4 linked regions of the Diceros bicornis minor genome follow. The protein of the gene in region 1 purifies or fractionates together with the protein of each later gene. This does not show direct contact. Links are inferred from orthologs where the notes say so. Each region holds a gene or a part of one and is shown in the gene's direction. Other genes may lie near its edges. The genes, in order: MAP1S, STK4, STK3 and RASSF1.

Region 1 (7,580 bases):
GTGGCCAGCTCTTCCTCCTCTAGACTGGGGTCTCCTTGGGGACCAGGACTGAGACGTCTCAGGATCTCAGCAGCGCCCAGCACGAGAAAGTTGTCAGGAAGTGTTTACTGGATGGACGAATGGACAAAGGACTGAAGGAAGGAGCACCTGTGGCAGGGCCTGGAGTCAGATGCCCACGGGTACCGGACACTGAATCTGTCCCTTGACCTCTCCGAACCTCACTTTCCCATTTATTAAATGTCTTTACTCAGAGCCTGTGCCCCCAAGAGGTTGCAAGGATGAAAGGAACTACCACATAAAGCATATGGCCCTCGGGGACCTCAGGCTCCGTCCCATCCCAGACGGGGAGTGATTCAAACCCAGCACCAGCAGCCTTGCTCCCTTCCCAGCACCCAGAGCAAGAGTGCTGTTAACACACGTGCTTCAGGGATATTGATGAACAGGGTTGGTGAGCTGGGCGGGAGAAGGAGGGAGAAAAGGCAAATATTTTCTTTCTTTTGCTGAGGAAGATTAGTCCTGAGCTAACGTCTGTGCCAGTCTTCCTCTATTTTGTATGTGGGTCACCACCACAGCATGGCTTGCAATGAGTGGTGTAGGTCTGTGCCAGGGATCTGAACCCAGGCCGCTGAAGCGGAGAGCATTAGGCCATGGGGCCGGCCCCCAAAAGGCAAATACTAAAATGGCTGAGGGCCAGCTCCATGGCTTAGCGGTTAAGTGCACACGCTCCGCTACTAGCGGCCTGGGTTCGGATCCCGGGTGCGCACCGACACACCGCTTCTCCGGCCATGCTGAGGCGGCGTCCCACGTACAGCAACTAGAAGGATGTGCAACTATGACATACAACTATCTGCTGGGGCTTTGGGGGGAAAAATAAATAAATAAAATTATTAAAAATATAAATAAATAAAACGGCTGAAACTTAAGTGTTGCTGAGGACATGGGGTGGCACGGCCTCTCTCTGAAGCCGCTGGGAAAACAGCCTTAGCCCATGACGCAGCCATTCCACCCCTAGGCATTTACTGGGGGAGAAAGGGGTGTATTGATCAAAAGACATGTACAGAAAGGCTCCAAACAGCTTTATCCAGGAGAGCCGAAAACAGGAACAACCCACGTATATGCCAACAGGTGAAATGAACAAATAAAGAAAAATTGGTACCCAGTGGTTATAATAAGAAAAAAAGCCAAAAAGTTTGCAAGGATGTGGGATATTGGAACCCTCACTCACTGCCAGCGGCAATGTAAGATGGTGCAGCTGCTGTGGAACAGAGTCTGGCAGTTCCTCAAGAAGCTAAACATAGAGTTACCACACCACCCGGCAACTCCACTCCTCTGTAGAGACCCAAGACACCTGAAAGCTAGCACCCAACAAAACTTGTGCATTGATGTTCACAGCAGCGACGAGCGGGAAACAGCCCAGACGTCTGCTGACGGACGACCGGCCGAACACGATGTGCTCCACGCACACAAAGGAAAGAAGTGCCCATATCTGACAACGTGGACGAGCCTGGAACACGTTATGCTGAGTGGAGGAAGCCAGACAGAAATGGCCACATAGTGTATGGAATGTCTGGAACAGGCAAATCCACAGGGACAGAAAATAGATTAGTGGCTGCCAGGGGCTGGAGGGAGGGAGGATGGGGAGTGACTGCTCATGGGCATGGGGTCTCCTTTTAAGGGGATGGAAGTGTTCTGGAACTAGATATTAGTGAGGGGGCTGCACGGCGTTGTGAATGTACTAAATGTCACTGACATACACTTTGAAATGGTTAAAATGATGTTACATATTATACGTATTTTACCACAATATAAAAAGAAGAAGTGGTACCCAGGAATACTACACAGCCATGAAGAGGAGCAAACGTCTGCCCTTGACCACAACACGAGAAGCAAGAGAAGCGAGATGTGGGAGTGGACACCTGTGTGATCCCATTTATATGAAGTTCAAAACCAGACAAAAACTCGCCTGTAGTGACAGAGGTCAGGGTGGTGGTTGCCTTGCGGGAGGGGAGACTCAACTGGAGGGTCCAAGAACTGCGAGGGGCTAGGAATGTCCTAGATCCTGACCCGAGGGTCATCACCCTCATCAACCTTCACACCTGACGTTTGTGAACTTGACCATGCCCATGTCAAACCTCAACAAAAACATTGAAAAGAGAAAATAATTACCAGGGAAAGACGATGAGAGCATTTGGCAGTCCTGAAGGCCGAGGGTTCCATTTTCTCCACAAATGCCATTGCCTGACCCCTCTGGGGACTGTCACCCTTGAAACAGGCATGGAGTTGGGTGTGGACAAAGGCCGGAGGGCAGCGACCTGAGTCTGGTGCCTGGGATTTCAGAAATGGTCTCTAGATCTTCTTCATCTCTGGGGAGATGCTCTCCACACTCCCCACACCAGGGACCCCAGCCTGGGGGACACTATGGGACAGGAAAGCCTCAGGCCTCCAGAACGCTCAGAACATTGGCCCCCAGAAGCCTAAGTAGGGACCCTTCTCCCCAATCGGACCTCCTGGTGGAGACACATCTTGACACCCCAGGGCCCTATAAGACCAACTGGAATGAATACCAACAATCATAACTCACAGCTTTGGGCAGAGGAAGATCATGGACTTCATTCGGAAGGTCCTGGGTTCAAGTCCCAACCCAATCATTAAATACACATGAAGGAATAAATGAATGAATGAATAGTGGACAAATGAGCTTTCCACCCCCATTCTAGGAGTCTTTATCATGCACTTCCCAGATGCCCAGCCTTGTCCTGCAAAAGGCCAGGGCCCCAGAGAGGCCTCAGCTGGGTCTGGCCTTCAACAAGCTCCCATCCTGGTGGGGGAGAATGAGCCCCTGTCATTACTGCTCAGAGCAGGGATAGATGAGATCATAGGCAGCCAGGACACAGGGAAGGGAGCCAAGGGGGAGGGGCCAGGGTAGAGGAAGGATGCCAGTGCCAAAGAAAGAGCGGAAGTGGAGAGCCGGAGCCTTAGACAGCACGTGGCCAGCGACTGTTACACAGTGACCAGGGAGGAAGCTGGGCTTGAACAAACCAGATAATGAAGAGTAGGGGAGGCTGATCTTTCTTCAGACCTTTTCATTTCTGTCTTGATTTCCTTTGTATACCTCCAGAGACGGGGAGCTCACTCTCATGGGAGACAGCCCAGTCCTTCTTGGGCATGGGCAACTGTCAAAAAGTTTGATGCAACATGATTTTTCAAGTAGTGGGTGCCATGGGTAAAAGGGCTGGATGAGATTGTTTGCGGAGGGAAGGGTACCCATGTGGGCCAGGCAGTCAGTCCCTGCCACAGGCTGGATCTGAAATCAGACCCACCTGGGTGTTGTTGACTACAAACACAGGTTCGTTACCTGATGTACAGGAAGGCCAATTAACCCAAACATCAGGCTTGTGGCAGGGAAAGAATTTTATTATCAAAAGGCAGCCAGATGAGGAGATAGGAGAGGAGATGGGAGTTAAAACTCAAGTTCACCTCCTCAAAGGGAAAAAGGTAGGAGTTTGTATCTGGGGTTGTAGGTGGGGGAGAAGGAGCACGTGCTGGGGTTTTAGGGAGGGAGGGAGTGTATGCCTTGCTGGCTGGCATCTTCAGACTGGGTTTGTTCTTGAAGACTGAGTCTCTTTTTTCCTTGACCATCTGGACTTCTCCGGCTACTGTTCATCCTTGGCCTGCGTTGGGCCTTGCGAGGCTAAACCTCCATTTTCTTCTTGACTCTGGACTTTGTCTGGGAAAGACAGCTCACTCAGATACTAAGGAGGCACAGAAAGACCTGGATGGTTTTGAACAACAGTTGATTATGCTGAGTATGCACAGCTGTAGTTAGCAAAGCTTATCTCAAATTTTTTTTCTTTTCTTCTAGCCCAGGGAAGATTTTTTAACTACTTTGTTCTCAGTTTCATGGGTTTGAATCTCTGCTCTACCACTTGTGGGCCTGGTGACTTCATCTCATCAAACCTTAGTTTCATCTCCATTCCTTTGAAATGACTGTAATAACAGTGCCTACTTCATAGGTTTGTGCATGTATTCAATGAGCTAATGGAGTAAAATGCCTGGCACACAGTAGGTGCACAATAAGTGTGTTGCCTTGCTCTAGGCCCAGAGTGCTCCAGGATGTGTCCCAAACACACATGTACTTTCCTATCTGTAAAATTTTGCACGTGCTCTAACTTCTGCCTCACACACTCTTGCCCCACCACCCACACCTGGCAAACTCCTACACATCCCTCAAACCCCTAGCTGCAAGATACCTTTCTTTTCTCTGTTCAAGCCCTGACCTAGGGGGCTGGGAGCACCTGGGCCTGGCTCTGATTGCCCCACTGTGATGGATGTGGGCAGGGATTGTGATTGGCTCGTGGTAGGCGTGCGGTCAAGCTTGTTGAAGGAATGAATGGTCATTTGGAAGAGGGGCCCAAAGCAGAGACTCAACAGTCCCCCAATCGCTTCGGCGCCCGCGTCCCCAGTTCCCAAGAGCTCACAGGAGCCGGCAGGGGGCAGAGGAGGGCGAGGAGGGGCTTCCGGGCGGGGTCCTCAGCCCTTCCGGTCCGGCCCTTTAAGGGGCGGGGCCCGCGGGCGGTGCTCGGCGCGCGAAGATGGCGGCGGCTGTGGGTCGCGGGGTGGCGGGGCCCCCGAGCTCGCTGCTGCTGGTGGTGGGCGGCGAGTGCGGGTGCCCGGGGCTGCTGGCCTACGTGCTGGAGGAGCTCGAGCGAGGTCGGGCCGGCCGGGGCCGGGGCCGGGGGGGGGCTCGGGCGGGCTGCTCGGCTCCACTGGCGGCCGGCCGGGGAGGGCCCCGGGCCCGGCTTTGGGACCCGCGCGCTAGGGCAACACGGGCGACGCCTCCGCTTCCCGCCCGCCGGGCCCGCCGCGGGAAGGCGGGGGTCGCCTCGAAATCCTCGGGTTCTGGCAGCCTGGACCTGCGGGAGGGAGGAGCAGGGCTGGGGAGGCCGGCCTGCAGCCCCGGGGCCCACTTTCCGTTCCTCTGGAGGAGCGGCTAATCGGGTGTGGGCGGGCGCGGCCTGCCCGGGGATCTGGCGCCCGAGGTGGTGAGTCACAGGTGCACTTGCGAGGTCCACCTGCAGCGGCCAGGCGCGGTGGGCCTGGCGGGCGTGGGGCACGCGCACCGCGGGCGGAGAGCCTTCGTCCCCCGTCGCAGATGGGCGGGGCCTGCGGTCCAGCGCCTGTAAAATCACCTGGTGGCAGCACACCTTCGGTTCACCTGCTTGGGGGATGTTGCCCCGCAGGGCATAGGGCTAGGGTGGGGACCCAGGCGGGCGGTGGACCCAGCGCGAGTGAGGAGATGCCACAAGTTTTAAGCTCGCGTGGTGCAGGAATGCGCGGAAGGATGCAACGGACTGAGTGGAGGCCGGTCTCGGCACCTGAAGGGGGTCTGGGGGAAGGGCCTCCTGGCGGTGGGAACAGCTGGTGCAAAGGAACGGAGGGGGCTGGAGGAGCAGTGAGGCCAGTGGTGGGGTGGAGGGGACAAGCTGACCGTCAGGAGCCGGGGCTTTCTTGCTGCCGTCCTGAGTCTTCTCTGTAAAGCGCCGGCGTACGCTTCGGGTTCCTGCATGCAGACAACAGTGAGATCACCAGCACTTGGGCAGTTCTGAGTCTCCAGGCTGTCTCGGGCTGGGGTGGACCCCACCTGCCAGGTGCCAGTCATTGAAACATTCTGGGAGCTGGGGAGCCCAGCTGATTTCCTGCCCCGCTCCTCCAGGCATCCGGTCCTGGGACGTTGACCCTGGCGTCTGCAGCCTTGAGGAGCAGCTCAAGGTCTTCGTGTCCCGGCACTCTGCTACCTTCTCCAGCATCGTGAAAGGTGAGGCTGGGCACCCCGCGTGCCCCTGCTGCTCCACTTACACTCATCACTGAGCAGGTGTTCTGCCTGTGCCGGGCCGGGGGTTGGCCACGGCTGTAAACAACAGCGGGAATCGTACAGCTGAGCTCTGCCGAATGCGGAGCAGGGGCGGGCCCTGACCCAGCGCCCACCTCCTCAGTCCACAACAGCCCACAAGCGCAGGAGCTTGTGGTTTTGTCCCCATTTTACAGATGAGGCAGATGAGGTTTGGGGGTCAGGGAGACCACTGAGGAGGGGGGCTTTTTGGATGAGAAGCAGCTGGGGCTGATGCAGCGGGTGGAGGGAGGGCTCAGACACAGGAACAGGACATTTGGAAAGTGAGAGGCTGCTGAGGGGCCTGGGGGTGGGGTGTGTGCCCCGTGTGGCAGGGACCATGTCTGGTTCGTGGCTGTGACCCCTGCACAGGGCCAGTGCACAGTAGGTGCTCGAATAGATGGGAAGCTGAGAAAGGAGCAAGGTCGAGGAGGGTTGAGGGTGCCTGGGCCAGCTGCACGTGGCCCATGGCTCCCTAGGGATTCTGGGGTGAGCCGGGTGAAGAGAGCCCCGTGTCGGCTGCAGCCCCCACCTCCTGCCTTGGCCAGCCTGTTGAGTCACCTCCCTGCTGCTGCAGGAGGGGAAGGAAGTGTCCGTCACCTCATTGTCCCAGTGGTTCTGGGTGGCTTCCTGAGCCCTCACAGGATGGGGGGCTGGAAATCCCATTTGCTCCGTGTCACCTTGGCGGTCACTGCCCCCTCCATGTTTTGGTTTCCCCACCTGTGAGGGGCAGTGTCTGCCTGTGACGAGATGTGTGTATAAACTGATGAAGGCTGTCAGCCCGGGAGGTCCTTGCCTCTAGCCCCAGGGCCTGCTGCTCCGTATGTGAAACACGTCTGGGCTCTGGGGCCAGCCCAGGGTTCGGGTCCCAGAATCAACCCCACTCGCCTCTCCGGGGTCCGTGAGGCCTCTCCGCGCTCGGCTCCCTCATGCCGCCCCCGTTCCACCCCCACCGCCACCTCCTCATCCTCAGACACGCTGGGCTCCGGCCTGCCTCAGGGCTGTGCTCTCTTCCTGGTGTGCCCTCATTGGCCCTGCTTGGGCCCAGGCTCCTCGCCTATAAAATGGGGGTGGCGATGGCCTCCCCCACGGGGCTGATAGCTGCAAGCAGTGGAGGCCTTGGTGTCACTGCTGTGTCCAGCGTGTGGCCTGCCAAGGCGGGTTTCCTGTTCTTGCCTCATCCTGGCCTGTAGCTCTGCCATGTGCCTGTTGATCCCCAGATAACCCCCTGGCCGGGGTTCCCCGGGAAATGGAGCCTTGGAGGGGCTTGTGGCTGCCTGGGGTCACTCAAGGAGGCAGGGTTTGACCCGAGATAGCCTGACCCCAAGCTCACAGGGCCGGATTCCCCCCCAAGGCCAGCGGAGCCTGCACCACCGTGGAGACGCCCTGGAGACCCTGGTCCTCCTGAACCCGTCAGACAAGTCGCTGTGTGACGAGGTAGGGAAGGGGCAGCCCCCGTCGTCACCGCCTGTGTCCCTGACTTTGTGCTGCCTAAAATCCTCTTCTCAACACCCAGCAGCAGCACCTTCTCCCTCAGGAAGTCTCCACTTATTCCCTCCTCAGGAGTGATGATGAGAGTGGATGGGCTCGGGAAAGGCTGGAGTTTGGGAGGAAGGAATGGGCTAGGGAAGGTCTGGAGGGGGAAGGCAGGACTGACCGATGTTTGCATCGAGTGCCTTTCCTCTGGCTGGGC
Region 2 (7,409 bases), on another chromosome or scaffold:
CAGCTGACATGGGAACCTGGGAAGTGAGCCTGCAGGGTCAGTATCCTCCCTAAGATTTCTTAGGTGTGACATCAAAAGTATGATCCTTAAAAGGAAAAAAATGAATCAATTGGACTTAACAAACATTAAGAACTTCTGCTCTTTGAATGATGCTGTTAAAAGAATGAAAAGACAAGCCCCAGAAAATGTTTGTAAATCACGTATCTGATAAAGGACTTGCATCCAGAATATTTAAAAAAAACTCTAAAAACTCAATAATAAGAAAATAACCCAATTTTAAGAAAGGCAAAAGACTTGAAGAGATACTTTAAAAAAGAAAATAAACAGATGACAAGCACTTAAAAAGATGCTCAACATCATTAGTCATTAGGGAAATGCAAATTAAAACCACAATGAGATACCACTACACACCTATCAGAATGGCTAAAATTACAAACACTGATCATATCAAGCATAGGTGAGGAGGACAACTAGAATTCTCATACACCGTTGGTGGAAATGTCAAATGGTACAATCACCTTGGAAAACAGTCTCTTAATACATCAACATATGTCTTCCATATGACCCAGCTATTTCTCGCCTGCGTATTTACCCAAAAGAAATGAAACGTCCTTTTGTATGTATGTATGCCTATATGTATATCCACACAAAGACTTGTACACAAATGATCATAACTGTTTTATTTGTAATAACCAAAACCTAGAAAATAATTACTGTTATAAACCACTGGGCTTTGGGATGGTTTGGTACATGGTGATAGCTAACAGATACACCTAACCGATTTCTAGTAATTTTTTGTATCTTTACACGGCCCATATTCAACCTGACTCTGGCTACCTTGCCTACCTCACCTCCTACTTTTCTCTTCCTTATTCACTCTGCTCCAAGCACACCAACTTCTTGCTGCTCTTCTAATGTAAGCCTTTGCCCTTGCTGTTTCCTTCTGCCTTAAACATTCTCTTTAAATATGAGTGTGGGGGGCCGGCCCGGTGGCGCAAGCTGTTAAGTGTGCTCGCTCCGCTGCAGTGGCCCAGGGTTCGCTGGTTCGGATCCCGGGCGCCCATCGACGCACCGCTTGTCAAGTCACGCTGTGGTGGCGTCCCATATAAAGTAGAGGAAGATGGGCATGGATGTTAGCCCAGGGCCAGTCTTCCTCAGCAAAAAAAAAAAAAAAAAGAGGAGGATTGGCAGACGTTAGCTCAGGGCTGATCTTCCTCAGAAAAATAAATAAATAAATATGAGTGTGACTTATTCTTTCACTTCAGTCACATCTCTGCTCAAATATCACCTCCTCAGAAAGGCTTTCCCTAATCACTGATCTAAATTACTCCCCATCCCACTTTCCACACTCTTACATTAATTTCTTCTCATATAATTTTTAATACCAGACATTTTATATATTTATATAGTTTGTTTATTTACTGTCTATCTTTCCCACTTGAATGTGACACACATGAGGGCACAAACTTATCTCTTTTGCTCATTGCCTGGCACTTAGTACAGTGCTTGGGCCACAGCAGATACACAATATATACGTGTTGAATGAATGAATGATTGTCCCAGCTGTCTCAGAGCTGTCTCGATCTTACTAGACTTCGTTAGGTTCTCACATTATAGTTTTCTATCATGATTTATCACTACATTAATCAATTATCTGCCTAATAACTATCTTTTCTACTACACTATAAGTTGCAAAAAAGGTAGGACTCATATATGTCTCAAATATTCTTGTATACGCAGAGAATCACACGGTGCCAGCCCATGGAGCTCACAGAGTGTTGAATGAATGGAGCACGAGTAACCCTGCTCATTGGTTCTCTCTCTTAAGCTATTAGCATATTATGGTTGGCTGAGGCTTGCTATTTAAATTTAAATTAATTAAATAAAATTTTAAAATTCAATTTTTCAGTCACACTAGCCCCATTTAAAGTGCTCAACAGCCACATGTGGCTAGTGGCTACTGTTTCGACAGCACATATGTAGAACATTTCCACCATTGCAGGAATTTCTATGGGCCAGTGCTGCACCGGACGTTCTGTGGAAAAAGAGGGCAATCCTAATGTCAGTCTATCTTCTGGAAAAATCCTGGGAAGGGACAAAGGAGGGATGTTTGACAATGTGTATTGGCAAATTGACATTTATTTTTAAAAATGTTTATTGAGTACTTACTCATCTATGGGGATGAGTGTGTGGGCATAATGGAAGCTTCCACACAGAACTGCCCCTCAAGGAGGAAGAAATCCAGTGGGCAGCAGGGCCCGAACATAAGGTAAAACGTTGAGTGTGCTTTGGGAGAAGAACAGGAAAAGTGCGAGGGGATTTCAGAGGACAGAGGTTGACTTCTTGCAGGAGGGACCCATATGGCTTCCTGAACTTTGTAGAAATTCTTCTTGATCTTTACTTCCTCAGGGCTCCCACTGCCACTTGTACAGATTGCTGATAGAGCAAAATGGCAAATAAAATATGGATTTTGTGGAGTCAGGACAGTCTTGGGTTAAAACCTTCGCTCTCACTAGCCGTGTATACGTGAGTCTCTGCTTCCTCACCTGAGGAACTGGGACTAATAATTCTTACTTCATAGAGTTGTTTTGAAAATTAAGTGATAGTCTAGGATTGTGCCTGGCACACAGTAGATTCTCAGTAAATGTTTTCCTTCCGTGTCTGGGGAATGGCTCTATTATCCCATTTTTAGCACACGGGGTGCCATACCTGGGTGGCCCTGAAAGGTGGCTGCTCAGGTGTTAAGTTTCATAGATGGCATACCTTTGGGAAAAGCAGGACAATTAAAAACAGTGAGTGGTTGCTCTGGGTACATTTGCTCCTGTAACTTTCCCCGTGGGTAAGTTGGGTGGAATCTGCCATTTTCCTAGCACTCATTGATGGTGGTGGCAAGTGGGGATTTAACCATAGCCATAGCTGGAACTGGAGCTCTGAGTGGAGAGGGAGCTCTGACTCTGACGCCCAGAGAGAGAGTATACATCAGTGGCTGTCCAGTTTAAGGTGCAGGCTCTAGAATCAGACGGACCTGGATTTAAATCCCTAAACCTATTCTTTTAGCTCTGTGATCTTCACTTCCCTGGCCTTATAAAATGAGAGTATTGATAGTACTTATCTTATAAGGTTGTTAGGAGTATTAAATGAGTTAATAGTAGTAAAGCACTGAGAATGTGGTATAGCAGAGGAAGAACTATTCCTGTACTCTCTAGGTTCTTCTGGCTGATCTAAGAATTAAATTGACATGAGACAGAATAACAGGAGAAAATGAAACAAATTTAATAACATGTATACCTGGGAGAAACCCAGGAAAACTGAGTAACTCTCCAAAATGGCAGAAGCTGCTACCTTAAATACCATCTTCAGCTAAGAACAAAGGAGGACGTTGGGGTTATTGGTTTTGGACTTCAAAGGGGAGGAAGGCAATTTACATGGAGATGGAAAACCAAATGTTTGGTTAACAAATGTTGACCATGCCTTGCAAAGACAATGAGAGATGAGGACTTTGATTAAAAGGCCCTTGTTAGGTTCCTCCCTGTTTATCAAACCTAGTTTATATTATTCTATGGTTATCTTATGGTATTAGCTCCTTCCTGGAACAGGCTTTCTATCTTAAATTCTTTTAGGCAGTTAGAAGGAAGGTGAAGTTTCCTTCCAAGTCTTTTGTTCTTAAAAATAATCAAGCCAAAGAGACACATTTTTGGGGTGGCAAATTCTGATCCCCCACAGTGGTAAGCACAGTTTGTCAGATAATCAACACATAAAATTGGGGATAACCATACCTGCTTGATGTGAGGATTAAATGAAACAATATATGAAAGCAAATACATGGCAAGAGCTTAATAAATAACATGTACACCTGGTTTCTCCCAGGTATACACGTCTCCAAACTGACTCAAAGGAGAGGCTGTTAAGGAAGAGGGTGGGGCAATTTGCAGGCTGATGCCCTGTGACAGCCAAGAAGGTATGCGCGGTCCAGTCTCCATCTGGAACAAGAATTCTACCAGGTAAGAATGGTAGAAAACCACAAATACTTCCAGGAGGCCCTGGGGGTGACAGCGATTCCCAGGAATCGCGTAGAACTTGGCTTGTTAAGAATCAATAGTTTTTATCAAGCTGGCGCTTCGCAAGAAGCCTCAGTATCTCAGTCTAAGAAATAAGGGGCCGGACTGAGGCAGACATGCGTTCCCGGTGTGGGGACCGAGCGGCTTGGGCGAACAGCATGTCAAGCAGAGCGTCAAGCCTGGCTGAGGACTCCAGGCAACAGTCTCCTCCGCTCCGGGCTTCCGGTCCGCGCCCCGCTGCACCACGTGACCCAGGCCCGGTCCTTGTGGCCCCGCCCCGCGCCGCGCGGCTTCCGGTAGGGGCGGAAAGCGGAAGTGTGGGAGGGTCTGCGGGGCGTGCTCGGGTAGGTCCCCGGGGAGGATGGGGCAGTGAGCGGGCTTGGGCGGCTGCTGGCAGCGCCATGGAGACGGTGCAGCTGAGGAACCCGCCGCGCCGGTGAGGGGCCACTGGCTAACGGGAGGGGGGTCGGGGGGAAGGAAAGGCGGGAACTGACGGAGGGGGGACACCCGTTGTCGAGCCCCCGAGGGGAGGGACCTGCGGGGCGAGGCGACCCGGTGATGGGGCACCTGCTGAGTGGGGGACATCTGGCGGCTGGGGGTCCGGGAGAGAGAGGCACGCGCCGAGGGGGATAAACGTGGGGCTGGTTAGGGAGAGCACTTGCTGTAGGGGGACGTCCTGGGGGACTGCTGAAGGGAGCAGCTGCTGAGGAACGTGGCGACAAGTTAGGGAGAGCACCTGCTGAGGGCTGGGGCCGCTGGGGGAAGGCTGTCCTAGAAGGGACTCACTGAGGCGGGGGGAATGCTGAAGCAGGATGGGAACCTATGAGGGGTCTGTCTAAGGGATGGGTCGGGGACAAGCTGAGAGGAAGGCTGGGTGGACTTCGTAAGGACGGGGTCCCACCTGAGGGGTGCTGTTGGGGAGGATCTGCTGGGGGAAAAGCTTTGCTCCAAAAGCTGAAGGTGTGCCAAGAAAGGTTGCCGGTCTAGCAAGGGAGGGAGGGCTTCCTGGAGGACAGCATTTAGGAAGATGTCCTTGGTAGTGTCCCCACTCTAGGATGATGATGGCATCTGTCATTCCTTAAGTCCAGTGCCTTCTTAATTTTCCTCACATCCTCCTCAGCCCTTTAAACCCACCATTGCGGGGTAGATGAGGAAATAAGGATTTTTTTCAAGTTGGGGAAATTGAGGCCCCGAAGAGTTGAGACACAGACCCCTGTGTTTCCTTCTTTGCTCTAGACTGGGTCACTGGACCAGGCCAGACTGTGCCCTTTTCAGGCCTCTATTGTTTTGTGAGTATCAGCTCCAGATCCTACTGATACCTGGAATTGTTTTAAGTCCAGATCAGGGAGGTGGCTGATCCTAGAAGGTCTGTACTCCTGATTTGGTCGCAGTTGCATCATTGATTTGCTCTACGGACCCCCAGGGTCTTATGTCACTCTGCCACATCTGGAGAAAAAGAGAGTAGAGATGGAGGCAGTCATGCTTCTCTGAGGTGCAGTGTAGTTAGCTTCTATTTCACAGAGGCCTCTGACTTCCTGCAGCAGAAGGAGCGCTAAAGTAGGAAGTGTTCAGTGGGTGGGAGTGCGGGGCAATGGAGAGGTGAAGGGAAGAGACTGGCAGCCTGGGCTGCACACTTGGGGTTTGTTTGAAGCGCACAAGCACTGCAGAAGGCAGATAGCTGGTTGGTATGAACTCATAATTCACGCTAGTGTAGTGTGCTGAGACTGAAATAGTAATAATGATTATTACCCTCATCTAGCACTTACTGGGTGCCGGACACTGTTCTCAGTGCTTTCTGTTGAACCATGTGAAAATGCCGATATTTGACCATTTTTGATCTGTAAAAATGGTAATTTTGTGTGGTTCAACTTACTATTGACTCATTTGATCCTCACAACAATCCTGTGAAGTGGTTACCCCTATATCTCTATTCTACAGGTGATAAAACTGAGGCACAAAGAGGTTAGTGATTTGCCGGAGGTCCCACAGTTAGTAAGTGGTGGAGCTGGGATTTTAATCCAAGCAGTCTAGTCCGAAGCCACGCTCTTAACTGTCTCACTCTGATGCCTCTCTGGAAGTACCCGTGTTTCACAGGGCCTTGCGTGCATTAGCAGATATTTGCTATCACACCGTGGCGATCCACTTATAAATGTACACTGATTATATTTCTTTCTGAAATATGTTTGTTCTTTCTCCTCGGGCTTGGTTTAATTGGAAAGAGCATTAGGGATCTGAGTTTTGTTGCTGTCTTTGCCTCGTGTTGTATAATCTTGGGCAAAAGAGTAAACCTTTTTGCTTTTTGACACATTCATTCCTGTACCTTTTGGGTTTTAAAAAAATTTATTAAATGTGCAAGAGAAGAGCATTGCAAGACAGTTCTTGAATGACTGGTGCTTTCCTGTTCATCATAACTAATTTGCATCATAACTCATTTGCCTAATTTGCAGCAGATTAACTTTATTATCATTTGTATTAGTTTGTTAGGACTGCCATGTCAGTGTCACAGACTGGGTGACTTAAACAACAGAAATTTATTTTCTCACCGTTCTGGAGGCTACAAGTCCGAGATCAAGATGTCGGCATGGTTGTTTCTTTTGAGGCCTCTCTCCTTGGCTTGTAGGTGGCTGTCTCCTTCCTGTGTCTTCACATGGTCTTCCCCCTGTACCGGTCTGTGTCCTCATCTCCTCTTATAAGGACACCAGTCGTTTTGGATTAGGCCTCACCCATATGACCTCATTTTACCTTAATTACTTCTTTAAAGCCCCTATCTCCAAATATAATCACATTCTGAGGTACTGGGGGCTAGGACTTCAGCATATGAATTGGGAGGGGCACATTGATTTTATCATCATTACAAAAACTTCATCAGTTTGTCTTACGTATTTGTTGTAAATAGAATCAAATTCTATTTGGAGGGAGGGATAGGTATACATAAATAAAATGAGCCTGACATGAGTTCTAAAATGGGAGAAAGAGATTTGATAATTAGCCAAACCTATGAGTAACTACTTCATAAAAAGTCTTGTTTGTGTTTGGAAAGATACAAATGTCTTTTCAGAGATTCAGATGGCCTGTGTTTCCAACAAGGAATAGCAATCCCAATGCAGGAAATGCTCTTTGTGTTCATGAGTTTAACATTTGTGTGTGACTCCTACGTATGGCTTATGTAGGAGTTTATGATTTTAAAAAATGAGTTGCCATTAGATAATAATAGTGTAGTGGAAGGTGTAGAGTACATTTCTGGGATGCTGGCCATCCACGTGGCCATCTGACTTAGAAGAGGAGCATCCACCGGTATTTGGTCCATGCAGGCTGTGTTGGCCAGGCCTGTGTGTTTATGAGCAAGCAGTG
Region 3 (6,845 bases), on another chromosome or scaffold:
ACATCTACCTCTAGGCTTCTTGTTTTAAAAATCATTTTGAGGTATTACTTGTAGTTAACTGATATGCTAGACTTTTGAGATGATAAATATGAATAAGATACTGTCCTTATTCCCAAGAGGCTTACAGTTTGGTCAGAGAAACAAATAAGCGAAACAGAAGTTTAGGATTGCTCTGAGAAAACAGGATAGTGTTTGAATTCAAATGCAACATGCTAGTTCCAAGCTAACTATAAAATTAAGCCAGAAAAGAGAAACAGATCAAGGGAAAACATTTTGTAAAGTTGCCTCTTGAAAGGAAATAATTCTGAATTTCCCTGCAAATAAAAAGTTACATAATGTAATATATTCTCTTTTCCCCAAACTCTTCCTCGTAATAGTAGAAAAGATAAGCAGTTGTTAATTAGTATTATTTTTCAAATAAATATGAGAAAAAAGAGTAATACAAACTTGCAGTTTCAATAAGTAGCAGCAACTAGTATAATAAGGAAAAAAATTTTTCTTACCTTAATATTTTTCTACTCATAAAACATGGTGGTATTTATTCAGTGACAACAAATGCAGTTTTGTTATTCTAAGGAACTGGGTCCCAAATTGCAGATTTCTCTCACATTTCTCTCAGAGCACGCAGTTGAGAATTCTGGTGAGCTGTTTGCTAGTATAATTAAAGTGCATACTTAACCTCCATTCCAGTTGGAACGGTTGGAAGCAGAAACAGATTATCCTGCTTTCACAGTTACGTGAAGCTGAGTGACTCTTACCTGTATCTCAGATTTTCCTATAGCTCTCAATTGTTCATGAATGCTGCTGCCTGTTGTTTGCAGGTTGAATGATGATTTCTATGCTTTCCTTCTTGGAATCTTCAGGCTAGCTTTCCACAGACAAATTGAAACAGAGACTTCAGGCTAATTTTTCTTTTCTGAGTAATTCAGTAAAAAAACAATTCCTTTCATTCAGTAACACATGACACACCAGGCACGATTGCCTCCGGCCTCAGCACTTCTTGTTCCTTGGTCTCAGTCTCCTCCCGTAGCCATGGGCATGGCTCTCCCCCACTTCCTCAGTCACCCTCTCACTGAGGCCTGCCCTGGCCACCCTATCTAAGTTTCATCCCTTCCCTTCCACTTCATATTCCCCTTCCCCAATTTATTTTTCTTCCTTACCAGTTTTCAGCACTAACATTATTGATTAGGTGCTTATTTACCTTATGTTTCCTCGACCAGAATGTAAATCTTATGAGAACAGGAATTTTTGTCTATTTGTCTATTCACTGATGAATCCTCAGCACCTAGAACAGTGCCTAGTATGCATAAGGGCTCAGTAAATATTTATTGACTGACTTACAGTGGGACAAGGCTTGGCTTTGGAAGTATAAAGGCCTGGGTTAGAATGCAGATTTTCTATTTGGCCTAGGGTTACTCTCTTCATCTCTTTGAACCTCAGTTTCTTTTTACCTATAAAATGGAAATAACTACCTAACAAGGTAGATTTAAGGGTTTGATGAGACAATGTAGCCAAGTATTTGACCTTATTGGAGTCATACAACCATTGTTAGCCGTCTCCCTTTTCAGACTGAGTGAAGACCTCAAAGGTTTATTTTCTGATATTATTCCTCCTCCTCCACAAACTTTCTTTATGGGTAACTATGTCAGGGTTCCATTAGGAAAAGTTTTTGAAGGTACACTCAAATTAGGGTCATTTGAGGAGGGTTGAGGTCTAGGGGAACATAGGGAATAGAGGAGGAATCTGGGGATTGGCAGACCAGTCACTACCCATAGGCCCACAGGGAGGAGAGGAAGCAAGAAGAGTTGGGCCCTAGACAACCTCACAGGAAGGGAACCAGGGGAATAAATAGCCTTATACTCCATTCTCCCTCAGATGATCTCCTGTTGGTCTCCCTATCATCAGACCCAACTATAAGCCAGAGAGCTGGGACTCCAAGGATGTCAGCTATACAGGTCAGCCCCTAGGGCAGAGAGCAGATGGAAAAGGATGGAGAGTGAATCTGGGGGGTGCAAAAGGAAGCTATCCAGCTTACTATGTGTAAGGCACTTGCTATGCAAGAGATAGAGAGAATAATGACCTGGTCTACTTCTCAACAAACTCACAGCTGGGTTGGAATGACAGTCAAATAAACAGAACTTCAATCAACTGTGATAAGTATCATGCAAAAGCCAGCACAGTGTGTTATGGGCACGTATAAGAAAGGCATCTCTTTCACAACTTCAGTGTCAAAGGTAGCGGGGTGGTGGTGCTGGTGATTTGACTGGGAAATGCTTCGTGGAGACTGAGGTTGGTAACATAATTCAGCATCCATTTTAAAGTATGTCTATTTGAGCCCATTTAAAAATATGGCAATTTTTTAAAAAGATGAAATTACCCTCTCTGAAAGAGATTTTTCTGATGAAATACAAGAATACGGGACTACGGCGTGGAAGTGAGGATGAGAGTGAGGGACAGATGAAACAATTTCAAATGTTCTTCCTAGCTTTAACATCTTAATGGTTTAGTTTTTTGTTGTCCTGTTACTTCTGAACTGTTAGACTGTAGATCTTTAATAAATCTAAATGAGTATAAAATTTTGTAATAATCTCTCTTGTTTACAGACTTTGACTAGGTTTCAACGATGAATGGTCTTAACGAATTTAACGTAACTAAATTTAGGGGGGAATATAATGGTTTGAAAATAAATCATGTAAATTTATTACATAGTGAAACAATGCAAAAAGAGGAATAACTGTTAATAGACAAGTTTAATTTGGGTTAATGTTCATAAAATTCCTTTATTCAACATTCTCTCCATATTCTTTGTTCTTATCTCTGAGAAAACTCTATATGACTCTACATCTTGATAAATTTCTAACAAAAACAAGCAAACTCATTACCTAGCAGCTGTATATGGTCATAAGCAAGATATCTATATATGGAATTTAAGGTAAAATGGCATATGCACAATATAGACACATGAAGGGGTCAAACGGCAATGGGGTAAGGGCCTTGGGAACAGGTTGGAGGGAGAGGGTGGCAAGAGAGAAGAAAACACATTTTTTTTGAGTGCTTTCCTATGCACTTTAATTTGCGATAGGTTTGCCGGGTTACCCAATTGAACAGCCGGCAAGACCACAGTGCACTGAATTTGGTGCACTGGGAGATCTCACTGCAGTAATTATTTTCTTTGTAATTAGATGTAATTATTGTGAAATGTATTGAGGAGCTTGTTCACAATCAACATCAAACAAGAATTTCCAGAAGTATCCCTGGTACTGTAGCTACAAATGTCAAATGGCTAGGAGAGAACATAACCAGTAATTACAAACAGAACTAGAGAGGGAAGCGTGGGCAGTTAGTAATACTTCAAACGGCTGTACAAGATGTTTGGGATGTATCCTTGAGAAAGCTAAAGAAATGAGTCAAATAGTATTGGGGTAAAAGCAATGAAGGCAACTGAGGGGCAGTAGCTCTAGGATAGCGCAAAGGAACAAGTCCCTGACCAGCACACAGCGGCTCTCGGTCCTGACTCGGCCTCGTCCTCTGGCTCTTCCAGTCTCCCCTCCTTATTTCCCCTCGCTGCACTACCGCCGGCCTCTCCCTCCGCCCCCGACTCCGCCTCCTCCCCAGCGCCTGGCTCCGCCCACCACGCCTGCACCGAGGCCTTTTCCGCCCACCCTCTCTGGACCGCCGCCGGCTCCGCCCCCCCCCCCCCCCGCGCCTGGCTCCGCCCACCCTTCCTGGACCCGGGCGGGCGGCGGAGGGGCGGGGCGCGCCGGGAGGAGCCGCGCTCCGGAGAGGGGTGGGGATCCGCTGCAGAGTTACGGGAAAGTTGGTCCGAGTTCCTGGAGTTTCCCTCTCTGGTTCCCCTGGCTCGGCCGGCCGGTGCCTCGGCCCCTTTCCTCCCACCGGCCTTTGCCGCCCACCAGGTCGCTCCTTCAGCCCCCTGGCCGCCATGGAGCAGCCGCCGGCGCCCAAAAGGTAAAGAACGCGGGGAGCGGGGAGAAGGAGGGAGGCGGCGCCGGCGGCCGCGGGGCAGGGGCGGCTAGGCCGGGCCGGACCGCGACCCCCTCCCCGGCTGCGGGGCCCCGAGGCGGGCGCGCCGAGAGTCGGGAGGCGGGTCCGAGTGCCGGCCGCGTCTGTCCACGGGGCGAGGGGGCCCGAGGGGAGGCCGAGCTCGCCTCCCCCGCGGCCGGCCGGGCCTGGTGCGCGTGGAGCGTCGGTGGGCAGCGCCGGGCTCCCCGCGGCCGGACTCTTGGGCGGGCAGTTTTCCCTTGTGGCAAGTTCACGAAGCCTGGGAGACGTAAACCTAGGAAATTATTGGGCTTCTTACAACTATGTTGGTTTTCTTCTCAAATGATTTTCATAATATTGCCTTTTTTGAGAAGGCGGATTGTTTATTTACAGTTTAAGGAATTAAATATTAATAGCTACACAGTCTGTAAACTTATTGTGAATATGTTGCGCTGACAGGTGTGCCTTCCCCTCCCTCAAGTTCAAAAGTATTTATGGATGCAAGACAGTAGGATTCTTAAATTAGAACCCCTCCCCCATATAGCTTTTTTTTTCTTTTAGCATGTAAAAATAGTGATGCTTTGGTATTTACTCTTAGTTTGGATTTAATCTTCGATATATTGGAAATGTCAGAGTACACCGTAGATACATTTGAACTAATATTTGAAGTGAGCTAAATCTAGGCTCTCCATTGATATGTGTTCATAATGTGCATCCCCCCCGCCCCCCCCCCGAAGAATGAATCAACTAACTGATGTTGGGTAAAACATCTAACCTCAGCCTTTCATTTTTAGTTTATAAAATAAGGGTACTAATCTCTCTCCCAGATAATGCTGTTGTGAAGTTTAAAGAGTTCTTGTTTTGATACCTAGAGATCTTTAGATGAAAGGTGGTGTATTCAAGAACACGAAATAATTTAAAAGGTAGGAACTTTGTGTGCTATTGTGAATTGTGTCACCAGACATGTGAGCCTCGAGGCCTGGAAACCATCTGTTCAGGTGCAAAAAGGGGAGTCGTGGAGAATTTTCTAAAAGATACCTGCTATCAGACAGACCCCTTGATAGATTTTTTTCTGACATTTCGTAAAGTGTCTGAATTCTCGTATTGACTGGGCACCCAGTTTTAATACTATAGAAGAAAATTGGAAACCTTTTTTTTTCTTTTCTGTTTTGGAAGGATTGTAAGGGGGCATCTCTGAGATAGTGCCATAAGGCCAATCTGAACAGCTCTGAATTGAAGTAGAAGCTCTCTCTATTGATTAGCTCTACTCTGAGCTATCAGAGTTTCATTATAGGTGTAAGAGAACCCCTGCCCTTGCGGGGACGTTAGAGAACCTGGAGGGGTCAGGGGGAGGCGTGGGTGGTGTATATCACCATTCTGTGGTGACTTATACTTTTCAAAATGGTGCTTGCACAGTTAACAGACTTATTTTTAGCTCTCTTCAGAGAGATTTATGTTGATCCAGGAAAGCATTTCTGAAGAGCAAAAGATATGTGACATTAATCCTTTATTTTTTAATATCTCTTAATATTTTTTCATAGTATTTTCATAATATCATTTAATCCTTCATAACATCATTTAATTCAATACTGTATTGAGTAGGTTGGATTACGGGCATTAATCTTGTTTTGTAGTTGAGGATGCTAAGTGAGTTTGCCACCTGGAAGGCTATGACTGGGATTACTCACAGTAATTTTTGTGTTGTCCCTATTGATCATTACCTTCTAATAATAAAATATAGCTACCATTTTTGAGGTCCTCCTGTTTGCCAGGAACTTTATATATACATTCCTTTATTTTAATGTCTTGAGAAATAGGAATCCTGGCTCTGCAATTTTCTGTGCTAAGTACTAAATTAAATTTTAATTCTTAATCTGTAAAATGTATTGTGAGGGTTAAATGAGGTCATGTGTTAAAAGCACTTAGCACAATGCTCCATAATGTGTCCAGTAATGTTAGTTGTTAGTTTATGTTTTCCTTATTAAATGAAGCTCAGAGAGGTCAAATAACTTGGTGAAGTGGAGGAGGTGCCAGAACTCTGGGTCTGATTGGCTGCAAAGGCTGTGAACCCTCTCATTGTGTACAGTGATGCCTCTTTTTCAAACACTCGCTTGCTTCCTTTGCGTTCCATGATGTGGTTGTCGTCTGTTTCTACAGTCTTCTGGTTCCCTTTGCTTGTTCTCTTCCTAATCCGTGTAAGAATGCCACTTTGCTTTTCTGCCTTGAGTAGCACTTCCTGAGGGCTCAGACATTTTTATGTGGCGATATTTATGTTGCTGATGTTCAACTCTGTATGACCAGCAGCTGCTGCTCAGTTGATATTTTTGATTTTTTCGTGTAAATCCACTCTTTTTTTGTGTGTGAGGAAGGTTAGCCCTGAGCTAAGCTAACATCCGATGCCAGTCCTCCTATTTTTGCTGAGGAAGATTGGCCCTGGGCTCACATCCATGCCCATCTCCCTCTACTTTATATGGGATGCCTCCACAGCATGGCTTGACAGGCAGTGCGTCGATCTGTGCCCGGGATCCAAACCTGCAAACCCCAGGCCGCCAGAGCGGAGCGCGTGCACTTAACTGCTGTGACACTGGGCCGACCCCTGCAAATCCACTGTTTCATTATCCCATCTAGTTTATCATTAGATCCTGTCAAATTTTCCATGAAAAAGTCTGTGGATTCATTTTTTTTTCCCATTTCATTTCCAATACAGAACTACTACCCCATTCCAGGGTTTTATGACCCTCACACTTGATTTACAGCAGTGCCTTCCAACTGGGCACTTTAGTCCAGTGGTTTTCAAAAATTTTTAACAGCGGAAACATTTTAACAGCAGAAAGGCTCTGTTTGGA
Region 4 (6,972 bases), on another chromosome or scaffold:
AAGGTACGCTGGGGTCACAGGCAGGGTTCCTGCCTTCCCACCCCCTACCCCACCACTCTACCCCTCACGAGCCCCTGGGTGCGGGGCCTGGGTTGATTAGGGAGATAGTCCTAGAGAGATAGATCCTAGAACAGCCTAGGCTGCAAGGGGAGGGCCCAAGTTCTAAAGACATTCTTGAGGGGGCCTGCCCGGTGGCGTAGGGGTTAAGTTCGTGCATTCTGCTTTGGCGGCCCGGGGTTCACTCGTTCGGATCCTGGGTGCGGACATACTGCTCATCAAGCCATGCTGAGGCGGTGTCCCACATAGAAGAGCTACAACTCTACAACTATGACACACAACTATGTACTGGGGCTTCGGGGAGAAAAAAAGAAAAAGAGGAAGATTGGCAACAAATGTTAGCGCAGGGCCGATCTTCCTCAAAAAAAAAAAAATCTTAAAGGCATTCTTGAACAGACTGTAAGGCCAAAAGGGGCCACACTGAAGTGGGGGTGGGACTCGTGCATGGAAGGAGGCAGCTTTCCCAACGTGAGAGAGAGGGAGTTAGAAACCAGGGATTGGCTTGGCTAGAACATGAGCCAGGAGGTGACACCAGTAGATGACCTGAGATATCACCTGACAAAAGAGATCCTCTGCAAGTAAAAGGTGGAGCCCCCTACTGAGGGGTGGGGTAGGAATAGGGCACTGTGACGGGCCCTGAGTAAGGGTGAAGCCAAGGCACACAAGAGCCTTGGAAGGCCAGAGGATGGGGACAAGAGGGAAGGCATAAGCAGAAGAGCTGGCCTGAGAGGGACACCTGGATGGTGGAGGAGGGGACAAGGGCACAGGTACAGGGGAAACAAGGCAGCCTGGGGAATAAGGTAAGGGTCAGTCACAGGAAGCATGGAGGATGTCCCCACAGAGATGTCAGGGGCAGCTGGAAATGAAGGTCTAAGGTGCAGGAAAGAGGTTAGGAAGGTACTCATGGGGTCTGGGAGAGTGTAGGGGCCCAGGGGAGTTTGTTGAGAGCCGGGCTGGGCTGGGCTGAGCCAGAGATGGGAGGGTTGCCAGGCCAAGGTAGGCCTACCTCATCCCTGTCCTTTCCCTGCCCCTCAAAGATCCCAACGCTGGTGGAGGAGCTGATTGCAGTGGAGATGTGGAAGCAGAAGGTGTTCCCTGTGCTGTGCAGGCTAGAAGACTTCAAGCCCCAGAACACCTTTCCCATATACATAGTGGTGAGCTAGGTTCCTGGTTCACACCCCCACCCACCCCTTCAGAGAGCCCTGGATGACAGACGATAGCTGGTAGTCCTATCCCTCCCTCAGCAGCCCCGGTCCCTGTCATCTGTCTGACAGGTACACCATGAGGCCTCCATCATCAACCTCCTGGAGACAGTATTCTTCCACAAGGTGAGGCACCAGCCCTGCCCATAGGCTACTGCCCCAGGCCAGAGCCTGGGAGCAAGGGGGGTTGTGTCTGTACGGGAGGGAATCAGAGACAGAATGTTTCCCCTGCTCCTGCCTCCCAGAAGGTGTGTGAGTCAGCAGAGGACACCGTCTTGGACCTAGTGGACTACTGCCACCGCAAACTGACTCTGTTGGTGGCCCGGAGTGGCCATAGTGGCCCCCCTGAAGACAATGAGTCCCAGTACAGCACCCCTATGCAGGTGGGCTGAGGTTCCCTGGGGTTGGCATGGGCTAGACCTAGGCTCCCTGAGGCCTGAGCAGGCAGAGGGTGGCCCAACTTGAGCACCATGTGGCCCCCTAGGAGCTGCAGAAGCAGGCAGAGCTGATGGAATTTGAGATTGCACTGAAGGCCCTCTCAGTGCTACGCTACATCACAGACTGTGTGAACAGGTGGGCAGCCCTGCTGGGCCTGGGGCCTGCAGTGGAGAGCTGGGAGCCTGGGCCATAGCCTTTGCTCACCTCTCTCCACCCCCACCCTTAGCCTTTCCCTGAGCACCTTGAGCCGCATGCTCAGCACCCACAACCTGCCCTGCCTCCTGGTGGAACTGCTGGAGCACAGTCCCTGGAGCCGGAGGGAAGGAGGTAAGGTCCTCCTCCACCTGCCCCAGCTCACTGCTTCCAGGACATCCTCCAGGATTGATGAGAGTGGGCAGCTTACACAGGCAGACAAGCTCTGCCCGTAGCCCACAGAGGATACCAGGATGCCTCACCCAAGGTGGGTCTAGACCTGGGCTTGCAGCAGGCAAGGGCTGTGTGTCCACTACCAAGGAGTCACCCTGTTGTAGAGTGAGCAGCACTCCAACCTGGGCAAGTCCTGTGCCCAGGCAGTGGTCAGTCCCCCAGACCATGCAGCTGGTTCACTCGAAGTGTACGCAATGCCTGCACCCAGTGTGCTGGTTCCTCTCCCCAGGCAAGCTGCAGCAATTTGAGGGCGGCTGTTGGCAGACAGTGGCCCCCCCAGAGCAGCAAAAGTTGAGCAAGTTGGACGGGCAGGTGTGGATTGCCCTGTACAACCTGCTGCTAAGCCCCGAGGCCCGGGCCCGCTACTGCCTCACAAGCTTTGCCAAGGGACAGCTACTCAAGGTGGGGAACTCCTCCAACACCAGTCCCAGCACTGCCACACCCCACCCCACCCCTGCTGCTTATCTTTGCCCACTCGCCTCAGCCCCAGTCCTCTTTCCAGACCTTGAGCCTCAGGTGCCACAACAGCTACTGGGACATGAGCCCACAGGCACCCTCAGCCCAGCCCAGCCCTAGCCCTCTCTGTTCCTTGACCCTCTGGTCAGCATCACTTCACACTGGCCTCCCCTGGACACCCTTGCAGCTTCGGGCCTTCCTCACAGACACGCTGCTTGACCAGCTGCCCAATCTAGCAGACCTGCAGGGTTTCCTGGCCCACCTGGCCCTGGCTGAACCCCAGCCCCCTAAGAAGGACCTGGTGTTGGAACAGGTAAGCACTAGGAATTTAGTTGCTCAGAAGAAGTTAGTTGCCCACTTTGCCAGCTTCTCCCTGACACTCTCCAATTTTCTCCCTCAGATCCCAGAAATCTGGGAGCGCCTAGAGCAAGAGAACAGAGGCAAGTGGCAGGCTATTGCTAAGCACCAGCTGCGGCATGTATTCAGCCCCTCAGAGCAGGACCTGCGGCTGCAGGCACGAAGGTGAGGCCTGAGCTGGTAGAAGAGGTGGAAGAGATGCAGAAGGCCTGGACATGGGCAGGGGTGCTCCTGTGCTCCCACTGGCCAGGCCTAGCCAGGCTCTCCCGACCCTTTTTCTCAGGTGGGCTGAGACCTACAGGCTGGACGTGCTAGAGGCAGTAGCTCCAGAGCGGCCCCGCTGTGCCTACTGCAGCACAGAGGCCTCCAAACGCTGTTCACGATGCCAGAATGAGTGGTATTGCTGCAGGTGAGGGCATCCTAGGACCTTGGACCCCTAAGCCCCACTCCCATACCCCCCACAAGCACTGCATCCTCACCAGGCCACCTGCCTGCAGGGAGTGCCAAGTCAAGCACTGGGAGAAGCATAGAAAGGCTTGTGTCCGGACAGCCCAGGGTGACAGAGCCAAGTGAAGGCTGCAGCTGCTGAGGGACAACCACCCATGCGATACAACTCACCTTGAGTGTGCCCCTGAACCTAGGGATCTCAGCCCGGCCTCTGCCAGAGCCCCAGCCTCCCAGGTGGTGAACACAGCCCACAGGGTAGAGCTGCTGCCCCATCTCCCCCAGCAAAGCGCTGCCGGCTTCCTGCCCCACCCGGCGGGTAGGCTGAGGGCGCTGCCTCAGCAACCTAGGGCAGGAGGCCTGGGTGGAGGGCGAGGGCGAGGGCCGGATGTGGGGACCCTCTTCCTCTAGCACTGTAAAGCTGGCCTCCAGAAACATGCCTGTCTCCGAGTGGTCCTTTGCGGTCGTCGTCGTCGTTAGGGGAGGGGAGGAAAGGGAGGGCGGGGACTCTGGGAAAGGCCCCCACCCCGCCCTCCCACCCCACTCCGCCTGCGGGCGGACACAGTCCCGGCGCCCAGGTTTCCATTGCGCCGCTCTCCTCGGCGCTCTCCCGCCGCTGTGCCTGGATCGCTGACGCGGCGCCGCCTCGAGACCGTCCCACGGCCTCGCCCGCTCCGCGCTCGCTCGCGCCCAGAGCCGGCCGGAGTCCGGGCCCGACTGGGCCATGTCCGCTGAACCTGAGCTCATTGAGCTGCGGGAACTGGCACCCGAGAAGCGCGCCGGCCCGGGCCGCACCCGGCTGGAGCGCGCCAACGCGCTGCGCATCGCACCGGGCACAACGCGCAACCAAGCAAGGCAGCTGGTCCCGAGCCGCGGCCACCGCTTCCAGACCGCGGAGCCCGCCACGCACACGTGGTGCGACCTCTGCGGCGACTTCATCTGGGGCGTCGTGCGCAAGGGCCTGCAGTGCGCACGTGAGTAGCGGCCCCCGCGCGCTGGTGAAAGCGAAACGAGCGGCCAAGGGGCAGCACTGTCGCTGCGGGTCAAGTTGCGACGGAGGGGGCAGAAGCAGGGACGGGCCCCGCGAACCAGGTCCGTTATCTTTACCCCATCGCGGAAGTCTTTGGGCAGATGGTTTTATATCCTTGCCGTGCTCCATCTGCGTCTGGGGCACAGCTGGACAGAGGTGGTTGCCTGTGAATAACAAGGTGCAGATTTCAAGGTTCTTACCTTTAAAGTGCCTTTGCCCTTCTTGAGAAAGGCCTACCAGTCTCTGAGTCCATATTCCCAGGCCTGCTCCTTCCTGAAGATTCACTTACCTGTGTCCCCTCCAGAATCCTTGGGGTGAAGGGAATTTACCCACCTATGGGAGGGGTCCTGGAAAAAGAATCTTGGGTGGGCCCTCACAAGCAGGAATTTTGTTGTCTTCATTTAGCAAATACTTACTGCAGGCCCAGTCAACCAGGTGCTAAAACATGAAACACAGCCACACACCAGCAGTCCTTCTGCCCTCCCAGGAATCACCAGCAAGCAGAGGTTGCTCTCCCACTGGCTACACACCAGCTAGAATCACTTGGGATGCTTTTACAGCCCTCCAAACCCCTGTGCCTGGACCCTACCTTAGACCTGTTGAATCAAATCACTGAGTATATGAGTGTATCAGCGATTTTTAAACACAGATCATTCTAATGTGCAGCCTGGGTTGAGAATCATGTTCTGGCCCATGTAGGAGCTTTAGGGAAGGTATCCCAGGCCTGTGTGGGTATGGAGACTCTCTCGTCCAGCAGGGAGTCTGTCCTGAATTCTGGGAGGAGCACAGGAGTTGTGACAGAATACAAAGCATGAACAAGGACTGGGACATTGCAGTGTTCCCAAAGAGAAATAAAGTGGCCATGGAGATGAAAAACAGGACAATTTGGGTGTGTGTCAGGCAAAGACAAGGGAGGACTCAAGGATGAGCTGGGGTTTTTTGCCTTTTGTGTGTGTGTGTGTGAGGAGATCAGCCCTGTGCTAAGCTAACATCTGCCAATCCTCCTCTGTTTTTGCTGAGGAAGACTGGCCCTGGGCTAACATCCATGCCCATCTTCCTCCACTTTATATGGGACGCCGCCACAGCATGGCTTGCCAAGCAGTGCGTCAGTGTGTGCCGGGATCCGAACTGGCGAACACCAGGCCGCTACAGCGGAGCGCACGCACTTAACCACTTGCGCCACCGGGCCAGCCCAAGGGGTTTTTTGCCTTAAACAACTGGAATAATAGCAATTTTTGCTGAGATAAACTCTGGTAAGGGTAGGGTGAGGTGGAAGAAAAATGAGTTAAATTGTGACCATGTTGGGTTGAAATGTCTATTAGACATCCAAGTGAAGATACTGACACACAGATTTGACCTGAGGGGGGAGGTCAGTGATGGAAGCCTTGGATCCGGGGTAGGTGAGTGTACACAGCACAGGGCAGTGATCAGGACTGAGCCTCGGACACTCCACCATTAGATCTGGAAGTTGAGACAGAACCAAAGGAGCTGAGCAGGAGCTGCAGGGAGGTGGGAGGAAAAACTGGGAACCAAGGGGAGCAAGCATCAAACGATGCCCAGGACGTGAAGATGCAAAAGGGACGTGATTCGGCAGTGCAGTAGGTTGCTGAGGATCCGGAGCAGGGCAGTTGCCTGGAGGGAAGGGCAAGCCTGACTGGAACGGGTAGAGGAGAGAGTGAAGGCAAGGAATTAGAGTGTATGCAGACCAGTGTTGATAACTTTTGGCGTGAGGGGAGTAAGACAGATGACAACTAGAGGGGGACATGGGTTAAAGATGTTTGGTTTTTTCCCTTCAAGTACATGGGCGGAGAGGGGGGGGCTGACAATGCGGAAGGGGGAAGTTCTGCCCTAGGCGCTAGTGTTGAGCAGGCCTGGATCCCTAACCGCCTGAAGCCTTCCCGCCAGGTTCCAGACGCCAGGGAACCAACACTAGAATCTGTGTAGCAGTGGGCGGTAACGGGGCCTGAGATAAGGCCGGTCATGCAGAGCTTGGCGGGCAACGGCCTTCCCCCTGGGGCTTCTCTTCCGTCCCCGGGACACTTCTCCGAGCTGGAGCTGGGACTCCTCCACCTCACGGCCAGGCCTCTCTGCAGATTGCAAGTTCACCTGCCACTACCGCTGCCGCGCGCTCGTCCGCCTAGACTGCTGCGGGCCCCGGGACCTGGGCTGGGAACCGGCGCTGGAGCGGGACACAAACGTGGTGAGCGCGGGGCCGGGGGCGTATGGGCGAGGCAGGGACGCGTAGACGAGCAGGCCACACTGCAGGTGTTTCTAGGACCGCCCGGCATTACACGCAATGAGCGTTCTAATAGCGGATTTCCCTGCGGCAGAGAGTGGCTAACTCTGCGCGCGGGTTCGAAGGGGTGCCTGGGGTGCTGACTCCGCTCGAACTGCCCGGAATCTCCCAGGCGCCGCGCCCACGCAATTTCCGCACCTCTCCGCTTCCGGTCTTGTGGCCACGCTGGTGCACATGCGCATAAGCTCTGACTTGTCCCCTACGGGAGGTGGGTTAGCTGCAGCGAGGCGGAGCTGAGCTGAACGGCCTGGGCGATGAGATCATTC

The links.
Region 2: the proteins of MAP1S (region 1) and STK4 purify together in Homo sapiens (affinity purification with mass spectrometry; 3 studies listed by BioGRID and IntAct, with this or other methods). This does not show direct contact. The link is inferred for Diceros bicornis minor from reciprocal best matches to the Homo sapiens genes MAP1S and STK4.
Region 3: the proteins of MAP1S (region 1) and STK3 purify together in Homo sapiens (affinity purification with mass spectrometry; 3 studies listed by BioGRID and IntAct, with this or other methods). This does not show direct contact. The link is inferred for Diceros bicornis minor from reciprocal best matches to the Homo sapiens genes MAP1S and STK3.
Region 4: the proteins of MAP1S (region 1) and RASSF1 purify together in Homo sapiens (affinity purification with mass spectrometry; 4 studies listed by BioGRID and IntAct, counting the BioPlex papers as one, with this or other methods). This does not show direct contact. The link is inferred for Diceros bicornis minor from reciprocal best matches to the Homo sapiens genes MAP1S and RASSF1.

What each region holds. Positions count from the first base shown.
Region 1 is NC_080759.1:5,556,436-5,564,015, forward strand, and holds the start of MAP1S (microtubule-associated protein 1S), read left to right. Parts: upstream 1-4,575; 5' UTR 4,576-4,592; coding exon 4,593-4,710; intron 4,711-5,713; coding exon 5,714-5,815; intron 5,816-7,241; coding exon 7,242-7,324; intron 7,325-7,580. UniProt on the Homo sapiens protein: Microtubule-associated protein that mediates aggregation of mitochondria resulting in cell death and genomic destruction (MAGD). Plays a role in anchoring the microtubule organizing center to the centrosomes. Binds to DNA. Plays a role in apoptosis.
Region 2 is NC_080758.1:16,216,497-16,223,905, reverse strand, and holds the start of STK4 (serine/threonine-protein kinase 4), read left to right. Parts: upstream 1-4,406; 5' UTR 4,407-4,459; coding exon 4,460-4,494; intron 4,495-7,409. UniProt on the Homo sapiens protein: Stress-activated, pro-apoptotic kinase which, following caspase-cleavage, enters the nucleus and induces chromatin condensation followed by internucleosomal DNA fragmentation.
Region 3 is NC_080760.1:17,574,526-17,581,370, reverse strand, and holds the start of STK3 (serine/threonine-protein kinase 3), read left to right. Parts: upstream 1-3,843; 5' UTR 3,844-3,940; coding exon 3,941-3,966; intron 3,967-6,845. UniProt on the Homo sapiens protein: Stress-activated, pro-apoptotic kinase which, following caspase-cleavage, enters the nucleus and induces chromatin condensation followed by internucleosomal DNA fragmentation.
Region 4 is NC_080741.1:51,362,795-51,369,766, reverse strand, and holds the start of RASSF1 (ras association domain-containing protein 1), read left to right. Parts: upstream 1-3,963; 5' UTR 3,964-4,104; coding exon 4,105-4,354; intron 4,355-6,503; coding exon 6,504-6,610; intron 6,611-6,618; exon of another isoform or gene 6,619-6,972. Other genes in the region: ZMYND10 (zinc finger MYND domain-containing protein 10), read left to right, coding at 1-3, 1,095-1,211, 1,332-1,385, 1,505-1,642, 1,744-1,832, 1,924-2,024, 2,353-2,525, 2,626-2,892 and 3 more. UniProt on the Homo sapiens protein: Potential tumor suppressor. Required for death receptor-dependent apoptosis. Mediates activation of STK3/MST2 and STK4/MST1 during Fas-induced apoptosis by preventing their dephosphorylation.